3 linked regions of the Bombyx mori genome follow. The main gene of each other region encodes a partner of the protein of the gene in region 2 in a complex. Links are inferred from orthologs where the notes say so. Each region holds a gene or a part of one and is shown on either strand. Other genes may lie near its edges. The genes, in order: mediator of RNA polymerase II transcription subunit 4, mediator of RNA polymerase II transcription subunit 24 and mediator of RNA polymerase II transcription subunit 16.

What was found.
Region 1: mediator of RNA polymerase II transcription subunit 24 (region 2) and mediator of RNA polymerase II transcription subunit 4 share a complex: the UniProt entries of both Drosophila melanogaster proteins name them as parts of the mediator complex. The link is inferred for Bombyx mori from reciprocal best matches to the Drosophila melanogaster genes MED24 and MED4.
Region 3: mediator of RNA polymerase II transcription subunit 24 (region 2) and mediator of RNA polymerase II transcription subunit 16 share a complex: the UniProt entries of both Drosophila melanogaster proteins name them as parts of the mediator complex. The link is inferred for Bombyx mori from reciprocal best matches to the Drosophila melanogaster genes MED24 and MED16.

The regions. Positions count from the first base shown.
Region 1 is NC_085112.1:8,189,799-8,193,558, forward strand, and holds mediator of RNA polymerase II transcription subunit 4, read right to left. Parts: upstream 2,585-3,760; 5' UTR 2,329-2,584; coding exon 2,261-2,328; intron 2,188-2,260; coding exon 2,007-2,187; intron 1,868-2,006; coding exon 1,716-1,867; intron 1,269-1,715; coding exon 1,090-1,268; intron 542-1,089; coding exon 366-541; 3' UTR 198-365; downstream 1-197. UniProt on the Drosophila melanogaster protein: Component of the Mediator complex, a coactivator involved in the regulated transcription of nearly all RNA polymerase II-dependent genes.
Region 2 is NC_085113.1:5,802,231-5,805,990, forward strand, and holds the start of mediator of RNA polymerase II transcription subunit 24, read right to left. Parts: upstream 2,627-3,760; 5' UTR 1,901-2,626; coding exon 1-1,900. UniProt on the Drosophila melanogaster protein: Component of the Mediator complex, a coactivator involved in the regulated transcription of nearly all RNA polymerase II-dependent genes.
Region 3 is NC_085108.1:235,606-239,365, reverse strand, and holds the start of mediator of RNA polymerase II transcription subunit 16, read right to left. Parts: upstream 2,656-3,760; 5' UTR 2,500-2,655; coding exon 2,438-2,499; intron 2,000-2,437; coding exon 1,822-1,999; intron 1,084-1,821; coding exon 951-1,083; intron 422-950; coding exon 292-421; intron 1-291. Other genes in the region: neogenin, read left to right, coding at 3,094-3,178. UniProt on the Drosophila melanogaster protein: Component of the Mediator complex, a coactivator involved in the regulated transcription of nearly all RNA polymerase II-dependent genes.

The sequences.
Region 1 (3,760 bases), on a different chromosome or scaffold from region 2:
TGGCCCTGGCAAGAGCAATGTTTCGTTAAAACCTACAGGATCAGAATCGCAACCCACTGAGAAGAACTGACGAGAAACTGTTTGGGTTATGTCAACAGGCTAGTTCGCACTTCCAACTCTTAATCGCAGAGTTCGCGTGCATAGATATCGAAAAATAAATTTGGAGGTTAAATTTTTGTTCAAATATAACAAAACGATTATGTGGAATAAATTTTTTTATTATGTCATTTCTATGAGGATATTTAAATAACATTTGAATTAATTCTACAAATATTTTTTTCATAATAAACACAAGCATCAGTCTTTTTAACTTGTTGAGTTGCACTACACTTTTAATCAAAATGAAGTCCACGGTTTTTCTGTATTCATTGTGAATCACTACTTGAACTTGAACTGGAGTCTGTGGACATAACTTCAACATCTTCTTGGTTGGGAGCATCCTTCCCTCGGCCATCAATAGCTACAGAGTTACCGCCTCCAACAGACATGTGTAGCTCGCCTGATGGATGCCAAGTGAATTGGCTTGAAGCTGAAGCTGGTACTGAAATAATATAACACAGTAAACCTGATTAACAAGCAAATGGTTTTACATGTTTTTTTTACCTAATGCAATTAACAAAAGGGTAAAATGTTTCTGTAAAATTCTGATGATAAGAATATTCTTAAATAATTTCCATGGGTTATGGGTTTTGAAGGAAGCCTCTGTTGACAATATTAATAAAAAGAGGTGGCAATAACATAGGAGATTTTTTTTATTCTTTACAAATCCTATAGAAATTTGATCATTAATTCAACTTTCCTGAAAAATATTATTCTTGTATATTTGAGTTTAATACAGTGGTCCAAAACATGATATATCTGCCAAAGCACTTGCTGAGTAGTTTAGGTGTTTGGTGTTCCCTATCACCCACTTCTCTCATAGCTATTAATAACTATGATAATACATGCTTATTGTAGATGAATCAAATTAACTATAACGATAAAGTACCAATACTAGAATTGTATAAATATGTACTGCACAAAGAGTTCTATACATATGCAACTTGTTCTAAGAATGATTCATTAATATAATGAGTAATGCATTTATACCTCCACCAGTTGTTATACGATGAAGTTCATTCAGTGTAGAAGGCGTGTGACCATTCAATGGCAGATCACAGAGGCGACCGAGCATTCCTAATCTCATTTCTAAATCAGTTGGATAAGGCCGACGAGGATCACCAGGTTGCCACGACAAAGGTGCGCTGACAGCATTAGATGCACTTATTCTGTAAAATATCAGTAAGTCAAAAAAAGTTTTTTTAAGTACTATTTAGTTCTCACATCAAAAATAGTGTACTGTCTAATATTTAAAAATTCTTTTTAATGTAATTTAATTAAAGTGTAACTCTATAGTTATGAAAGAAACTGTTTTCTGTAGATAGTTATTTTCATAACATTGTTGGCTATTCAGACACAATACCTAATATCCATTCAGACTTTTTGCATTAATAAACTTAATCAACTGTTAATATACTAAACATCTCATTGATTTATTTGTTAGTCAATGTGCCTACTATCATTGTCTCACTGTTGTCATTGGTCAGGTTTGAAATCTCTGTTGAGATCATAAATATTTAATATTCAATATTTAGGAGTACTCATCATGTGTTTTAAGGACCTGACTCAGAAAAAATATTTAATTTCAATGTAGAAATCTTTAATTGTTTACTAACCTGTGTGCAAATTTGATCAACTCCTCAGAGGGTACAGGTCTCTTTCTAGACTTCACTATTGATGCAAGTTTCTGTCGAGCTTGATACAGTGATGTAGCCAGAATTTGTTCTGCATCTTTCAATTGTCTTTGAAGGTGATATATATCTTGATCCTTAGTAACACAACAAAAACATTTCAATTACATAATTCGCTTGTGGCTTAAATTGTTGTGAACTAGCAGTGGATGAGTCAGTCCACTCCAAAATTTTATCCATTTTTTACTTAAAATAAATCTCTTTTGTAGTATTTACCTTACTATCTACTTCAGCTTTGAGTTCATTCATTTTCTGTTGGATCTTTGCTTGTTCGTCAGCTAGGTCTAATGTTTTTTTCAATTCTCCATGTTTTGATAGAAGTAGGTCCGTCAACTGAGCATGATCTGCAGCGGACACTTTCTGTGGTTTTGGTGCTATGGAAACTTCTATTATTTCCCTGAAAATTTAAAGAATTAGAACATGAAGTTGATCGGTAATGTTTTCCACAGTTCAATCGTGTTTTAACTCACTTAGCAATAAGTTCGATATCATCTATTAGTGCCAATAAGCGATCTTTAGTACTTAAATGTGACGCCATAGCTCTATATAGCTTAACAGCTTTTTTTAATATAAACGATATGTATTATTTCCTTATATCATATGAACTGGACAAACGACCCCCCAACGCTGCGACTCTTGGGATTTCTTGTATCAAAAACGCTACTATGTACGTGGTAACTACATTCAATGTTTACAGTAAAAATAATAACATTGTTTGATGTTTCCAATACAGCAGACGACAAACGTGAAAGTCATAGACTATGTTCCACAGCAAGCACAGACTAATAATTAGTAGAGCCTTGAAATATTTTTCTCTATGATATAGAGAAACTTATTCTCGTACTTTTACAGTTTTTCTAGTTTTAAAGTGAGTTTCAGTATAATTTATATCTACAAACTTTGTTTTATAAGGCCGTAGCCTATTTACGTTATAAGAAATAAAATAAAATTTACTACTGGTAACGAGATGAGATGATTTACTTTTTCTTATGAAGATGGGTGAATGACCTCAAGGCCTATTAGTAGTTACCGGAGCTTAAAGACATCACAAAGTGATTGCTGCCCCCAACTTTAACTTCACTTTTCTATTTTACACTATAAAGTGTGTTCCACCCTTTAAATCAGAATGCATGATTACTTGGCGGCAGAAATACACAGTACGCTGGTACCTACCCATGTAGAGTATTGTAGAGTCTAGTTATTATGATATGATCTCTCAGTAAAATCGTGTTTATTTCCTGAGACGTTAATTGAAAGACTCCGAAAAACCACATGTAGCGATTTCGTTTCATTTTTCTACCCGTTGTGCACTTTCATGAATTTGAACATCGTTTGGTCATCATTCATCGTTCTCGTTGAACCCATCGCTTGCGACGAAGGCTCGGCTAGTAAAATAACCCACAAATAAAGCCCACTGAATTTCTCGCCGGATCTTTTCAGTGGGTCGCGTTTCCGATCCCGTGGTAGATTCTGCAAAGTATTGCTCTTGCTAGGGTTAGTGTTAGCAACGTCGTCAGGTTAGATCCCCGTGAGCTCACCTACTTAATAAGTTACACTGACATAGCTCTCAAGCTTAGATAAAAAAAAACCATTTCACAGGTTCAGAATATTTGTCAGAAGAAATACAATATTGGTGTAATAAAAATATTCTCAAAATAAAGGACATCTGATTCCATCAAAATTATTGAAACACTGCACAAAAAAAATTATTCTATTAATTATTAGACTTGCGAATACTGAAAAAGGATTGAAAGATTGTGATATTGATTGTTATGGTTTATTTATAATTCGTAATTATTGGCGGTATAGCGTAGGTTGTAGATACGTATCTACGACCAAGCTTCCTATTATTGCCACCTACCAGTTATTCGTTTCGGTATAAAGGGCAAGATAATAGACAAAACAGTTGAGACTTCGAATCCTTAATTCAATCAAAATGGATGGTTACTTACACGCTGTGATGCTCATAT
Region 2 (3,760 bases):
CATCTTGATGGACAACATTGATGTATGAACAAAGCCATACTGATGCACACACTGCCAAGGAAGCCATTTTTTGTCTTATAGAATCCAACATTCTTTTAACATCTGTTGCCGAAAGTAGACCTTGTTCCCAAGCAAAAAGAACCTCTTTGACTGCACCAGTGATATTCATACAAAGATCATGAGGTTTGACATTAGTATTTTTGAAATCAAAGTCAGGAGCACTCAAATGGTGAATGATAACATCAACAACATGATCACATTTCTGAAGTATCTGATCTGAAGATTTATAATTTCCTTTATGTACCATACAATCCCTTACCCATTTCTCAAAAAATGAATCACCATTTTCTTCTAGAACAACATCAGCTCCATAATCTTGGACTATCCAACATAAAAGCAAAAATGAAATGTCAAATATATATACTTTTGATTGTGGTGCACCTTTTTCACTTGCAGCAAACAATGCAAATTCATTAAACTTAATGAGTCTTGACACAAACATTTTTAGTTTTCCTTCCACAGTTGCAACGGCCAGGATGGTATCCAATGTAGTTCGACCAACTATTTGGCATAGCATGATATAGAGCGACTCTTGAGTTTTGTGAAATTCACCACTCAATGCTTTTAAAATCTCTGCCAATGTAGGTTCAACACGAGTTATAAATAATGGGACTGAGCCTTGTAATCCTATTGGCTCAAATTTTTGTAAAGGATGATCAATAGTCTCACGTTTTTGTTTAAAATATGTCAAAGTATTATCTGACAGAACATTAAGTTTAACTAATGGCTCTATAAGTGAAATAACACTATTACAAGAATTCTTCGTATCAACAATATCCAGGAGTGGAGCTGATTGTAATAACATTTCAAAAGCTTCCACAACCTCAGTAGAATATTCACTTTCCTTATTTGTTGTCCCACACATATTATGGAGGTGATTTATCACTTGTGGAACTTTTAGAAAAGTGAATGCAGCCCACAATGATTGCTTCGATGCATCATTACTAGAATCATTTAGTGAAATGAAACAAGCTCTAATAAGTTCACAGTAGAGACGTGACAATGAATAGCCTTTTATTTTCTGAACCATTAGTAGTTGGCTGGAGATCTGTTGCATGCCTGCACTAGGGTTTGAGAACACATTTATAGCTATTAAAGCCTGCAGACAATAGGTTACAGCTTCTGGTTTATTGTTTAAGGGTGCTATTTTATCCAATTCCATATTGCAGATTTTGTGTAAAGTGACATGTATGGTCATCGGAGGTTTGAATTGAGTGTTCATCATCATAAATGCTGTTATCTCTTGACATTTCTTTGTCACTTCGTTATACTCATCAGGATCATTCTGCTTGGCCAAATAGAACATTGCAATCAGAAAATCTGTATTAACAATAGAGTTCAGTAAAACTGATGATTTCTCCAATAATTCCTGACTTTGAACAGAACTTGAAGCTGGATACTTGGTTAATGAATAGTGAAATACTTGTAAAAGCCACAATATTATAGATGATACAGCATAAGCTAAAACTTCTTCTTCTAACTTGCCTCTGCATGTAATACTCTCCAAAAAGGTTTCAAGGAACTCCAACAAGCTTATTATACAATGAGGTTTGTGAAAAGCATCAAATTTTGCGATTCGTTGTAACACAGCCGCGAAAGAGACCAAATGACACGCAAGTGAATGTTTCAAATACGATATCACTAACTGATTGGCCCCACAGCCTACCATGGCTTGTTGAAGAATACAATCAGCCAGATTATATAGGTCACCACTGACGCCCCTCGGCAGTATAGTTTTGATGTTGATGCCCCATTGAATATCAGTCCATCGTTCTTTCCAAGCTTTTAAAATTAAAGCTTTTAGTGAACTAGTTTTACTCGTTATTTTGGAAGCATCCATTTTTATTGTATTTTATTAGAGCACAATAATGTTTCTTTCTTACATTTCACACATTTTTGACGTGATATTAGTCGTTTAAACAACACTTTACTACTAGTCTTTGAGGTTACAAATTACATTTTCTTGTTCACTGTTGAATATTGAAATTAATTCGTTATATTTGTGTGGCATATTAAGTTTATCACATTTTTAAAGATATTTTATTTATAGCGAGCATTTGAGAATAAACATTACTTTATATGATCAAACTTGAATAATAATAGCCCAATCACAAAATAGACATTTTTTTTTTTTTTTTTTTTTTTTTTTTTTTTTTTTCTTTTTTAGCTTGCACTGTTTGTGCATTTAGCCACATACAAGGGTAAAGGTAGGGAAACAGGAGAAAAAGGAAAAAACGGATAATTAAAAAGAATGGATCAGGTAGGTATTTATATACATAATTACAATTTGATATTATGTTTCAGGATAAAATTTGAAATACATAAATAAATATCATAGTTCATAGTACACAGCAAAGTATTAATAGAAGTCGGGAGTGGAATACCAAGGGATGTTAATAAATCAATAAATGAGGAACAGTCATTTAAGGAGCACGCGAAAAAAATATGATTTAAATTGCCAACATCAGCGCCGCAATCACACATATTGTTATTGACTATACCCAATCTAGTCAAATGAGATGGAGTGCAAGCATGACCCAGTCTCATCCGGATTATGATAGTAGTCGTGATCTTATTAAATCTAAAATTGTAAAACCAAGGCTTGGTAGGAATGACAGATTGTATTTGGGCATAATTCTTTCCTTTATATTGACTAGAAATAGCCCATGTTTGTCCCCAAGATTCGCGCAGGTCTGAATTCGGAAGACACAAAAGATCATTTATGAAGATTTTGTATGGATAAATATCTCCACAATCCACAGCATCATTGGCAAGTTTATCAGCAAATTCATTGCCAGAAATACCCACGTGACTAGGAATCCAGGCAAAAATTACATCGAAACCTTTTAAATTACATTCCCACAGTAATTTTCTACAATCTACAATAACAGGGTAATTGGCGCAAGATTTGAAAGGAAATTTCTGAAGTGCCTGAAGCGCACTTTTGGAATCAGAAAAAATAACAGATTTATGTAATTTCATCAAATTAACATATTCTATAGCTTTAAATAATCCGTAGCATTCCCCAGTAAAAACAGAGCTTTCTGGTGGAAGTTTAATTTTTTGGACAATTTTTGATTGTTGATGATAAACTCCAACACCAACGAGACCAGAGGAAGAATTTTTAGATGCATCGCTATAAATGTAATGTCGATCTGACCACTCTCTATCTAAGATGATATTAAAATCGATATTGGCAGAAAAAATAGATCGAGATATATCTAAGGTAAAATGAATTTTAGGAACAAGAGTTAATGCTTCATATTCAGCAGAAAAAATAGAGAGACGATGAGACATGTGAGTGGGGGCAAGCAAAGAGGAAAATTTACGAAAACTCACGACTAAACAAGGTAGAGACTTGTGCCTCCAGTAGGGGGAAGATGAAACTAAATGTGATAAAGTAGATAATTTGGTATGAAGGGGATGCTTGGTAAATTGTAGAGCACGGAACAGAAACTTGTCACAAAGATATTGACGACGGAGTCGCAGAGGAGGGTCAACACACTCAACTTGTAAAGCATTGATAGGACTAGATTTCATTGCACCGGTTATTAAACGGAGAGCTTTTGATTGTATGCCATCAAGCTTATTTAGTCCGACTGCATTACATGGTTCAAGAAAGTAAGTACCATAATCTAAAATACTTCGTATGAGAGCGTTGTATAGGAGCTTTAGATTATATGGATGTCCACCCCACCAG
Region 3 (3,760 bases), on a different chromosome or scaffold from region 2:
TCTAATAAGAAGCAAAACAGAAAAAATGGGCTAAATTAGAAACTGATTGGTTAAAAGAACTACCGTTCTAAAGGTGGGTAGACAACATAAAGGCCATTGCAGGTTCTACGTGGAAGAAGAAATGTCACGATCACGACAAATTACATTAATAGTATGTACCTAAATATGCATTAAGATTGTTAATAAAGGTTTCTTTATCTTTATAATTAGATTAATTGTCAGAAACAATAAGTAGCTCTGCAGTCTGTTTTGCACCTACTGAGAGATTGCACAAGCTCCCGATACACTCACCCGAATCCCTTGAGAGTAGGAGAGAACCGAAGCATTTGTATTTTTTCAGGGATAACCGCATCTGATTTTTTATCCACGGCCACCACACGACGTCCATTGTGGAAAAAGGCCCCTTGGATTATGTGTTCTCCTGAAATATTTTGTCATTTATTGACAAAAATGAAAAATAAAAAACAAGAAAACATCTTTATTGATATGGCCTTGAAAAGAATCTTTATTACATGTTTATAACTTATTAAGATCTATTCAAAGAAATATTTTTAAAAGCCACCACTCATCATGAGACATGGGACCAGAGTCATGTTGCAGTGACAGCTATCCCAAACATCAATTGGAGCCACATTATGTCTCATGATAGAACAGACAGGGCGATGGTACCAGAATATGAAAATGTTGACTATCTAAGCGTTTAAATAAGGGCTGAATTAAGTTTGCACTTAGAGAGCCATCTGATCTTATATGTTCTTAGGTACCACAAACAACCCCTATGCATAAATCAATTAAAAAAGTTGACTCAAAATTACATTAAAGATTTTAAAATAGCAATGCATTTAGTGTACGACAACATCAGAGAAGTGGCAGTAGTCGTAATGCTTTAAGATAAACAATTTTACTAAAATAACTAGTTTTGTACTTAGGTAGTTAAATTTTTATCTTACCAGGGAAGTTAGCACTGTAAAGACATGTCCAATCATTGAGGAGGAAGTCTTTCTGTCCATAGACAGACACATCACCCACTGTAGTGGCTACTAACAACTGTTTGCCTTCCAGGTCCCACTCTAGAGCTGACACCTGGAATTTGTATCCATTATTTTATTAGAACATAGTTGCATAAAGAAACAAAGTTGTAAGAGTATTTCCATACAAACTTTTAGATAGCTTAATGTATTTTTCCGAACCTATAGACCGTATAAAATAGTATGGTCATCATTTGAGTATAAAATTTGACAGCAAACTTCAAAATTTTGGCAGCACAGGGTTTGAGAATCACTGCTATAAACTAGTTTTTAGATCATTTTGTTAAATAATTGAAATTGTTGATGTGGATATCAATTATAAGTAAGAAGCATATATCATCACAAATACTAAGTTATGAAGAAGTTACAAATATGAGTAAATCATATCTGTAAATCATGAGTAAATCATATCATAACCACAGTGAAATCAATTACTGTAGATCCTAAAATATTGATAATATGAACAGATTGACATTTGATAGCATTAATGTAGATGTGTGTAAGGTTTAAAGAGTCTCACTGAATATTTCTCCAACATAATGATGGTAGGCAATGACGATCATCTGACACTGTTTATCATCTCCCGTAATTGTTTAACTCTTGGTGAGTGAGCTGGTCTGTTCACTTATGCGAACAAAACCTGGCCACATAGGGTTCTAGTCTACTATTTGATATGGAAACTCATTAATAGTGTTAATACATAAAGAGCTCATTTGGTTGTAAAATTATACCACTTTTGAATAACTGATCTGTATCACATAGTTTCATTATACTTTTACTATTTCACACTTACAGGATAAGCTGTACTTGTAACTTTGTGACTGTTCCATGGGGTATCTAAGTCACATACATACACATGACCTCCCCATGTTGCTCCGTCCACATCACTAAGCTCTGTCGGTGATGAGAATGCTATGATATTTGCACATGATATTGTACATATTGGTCGGACTACTTCAGAGTCTTTTACACTAGAAATAGACAACATTATTAAGCATTGAGTTTATGTAACACCAAGAAACAGAAATAATGTTTTACAAACAGAACACAGAACGCATGGGACTATTTTAAAATACTTGAATTTTATGTAGATGTGATAAGTTCTAAAGTCAGCTCTTTTTATAATATACATCCATGAGCTGAGCAGTCTCCTATTACTTTTCTCCTTAATTTGTTATTTTTATCCTTTTAGTGTTTTCTTATGATGGAAGGCATCATGAACAACGGTAACTTAAAAAATAAGTTGATGTTACTGCCGTTAAAGATATCTTAATTTGTAAACTCTTGTTGCGAGGAGATGGTCACGACCCTCAGTATTGAGGAAACCGAAGCAAGAAGAAGAAGAATTTGTAAACTTTAGTAAATTTGGATAGAAATATAAACTTTTGATATAAATTTAAACTATTTACTTTTCGAAGTGCGGAGGTTCACATTTAAGTGGCTTGCGTCTCATAGAGTATATTAGCTCCATTACAAACTACCGCGGACTGCGGTTAGCGATTTGTGAACGAAATGTTTAATGTTTATTAAAATACGCATGTAAAGCAGGTTGGAAATTTGAAGTTAATAAGATTGCAAAAACTTTATTTGTTGATACCTATCACGTCAGTTTTTAAAATGTGTCAAAATGACAATAACGTTTTATTATTGCTTGGATCTGAATTTATATATTTATTTGTGGAAGTACCAATTGTATGTAACGAATGATAAAAGGATTATACGTATTTTTGGTTGGCACGGATTATATTTATTTTTTAAATGTTTTGTCTCCTAGCGATTTCGAATTTCATATTGTATGTCAGAATTTCCATTGCCAATTCCATTTCTCGTTTGACAGAAATCAACGAAGTGTACTAACTTCAGGGCGCTCCGTTTCGTCCCGGGCAATGCCCTTTCAATATCGAATTGTTTCCGAACGTAAGTGGACATGAAAATGGCGGATCGCGTAGTATCGCTCCGAATTCGTTATCTGTGAACTTTAACATAAATATTTTTGATTTTATGTGAAAATGTGATAGTTATGAATTAAAACCTCTAGTGCAGTGGTCTTCTATTGGTTTGAACCATGTTTCGGACAGGGATCGTAGCTTACGGCGTGAGAAACTGGATATTCTTGTGGCTGTCGCTACATTTGTTTACATACGTTCAAGGTAGGCTCCTTTCATGTAAAATACGGCATTTATTATCGATCCATTGTCTTCAAGTAACTGTGAGCTTGCCTGCACATGCCAAGTTAAAATATTCGAGAACTTTGGCATAAGTCATTTAAAATAAGGAAATTATTTACATTTGGATTTAGTTTCTGAAGCGTTTTATTTACTATCTTGCAAATCTACCTAATTTAAGTTTAGTAAGTATTTATGTCTCTCTGACGCTTTTAGAGCGGTTGTTAATAAAATTTATGAGGATGTGTACGGCTTGGGCGCGGTATATATTTTATTACTTTTGGACTAAAGTTATGAACTTTTAATAGAAAATATGTCTTCTTCAATAATACTTTCTGTTTTACGGTCAAAAGTGAAGTTTTGTTATTTTTAATTATTCTGTTTTTTTCTCTGGATAATTTTATTCGATCCTTTGGATTTTTCTGATTTAACTTTATAATTTTGTACTAGTATTACTACATACATAATTATACTTATCCAACGTCTCGTATATTTTATTAAATTGTAACTTTTACCTGCCTATTTGCTGGTAGTATAAGGGGCTATTCCAACAACACACGGACGGGA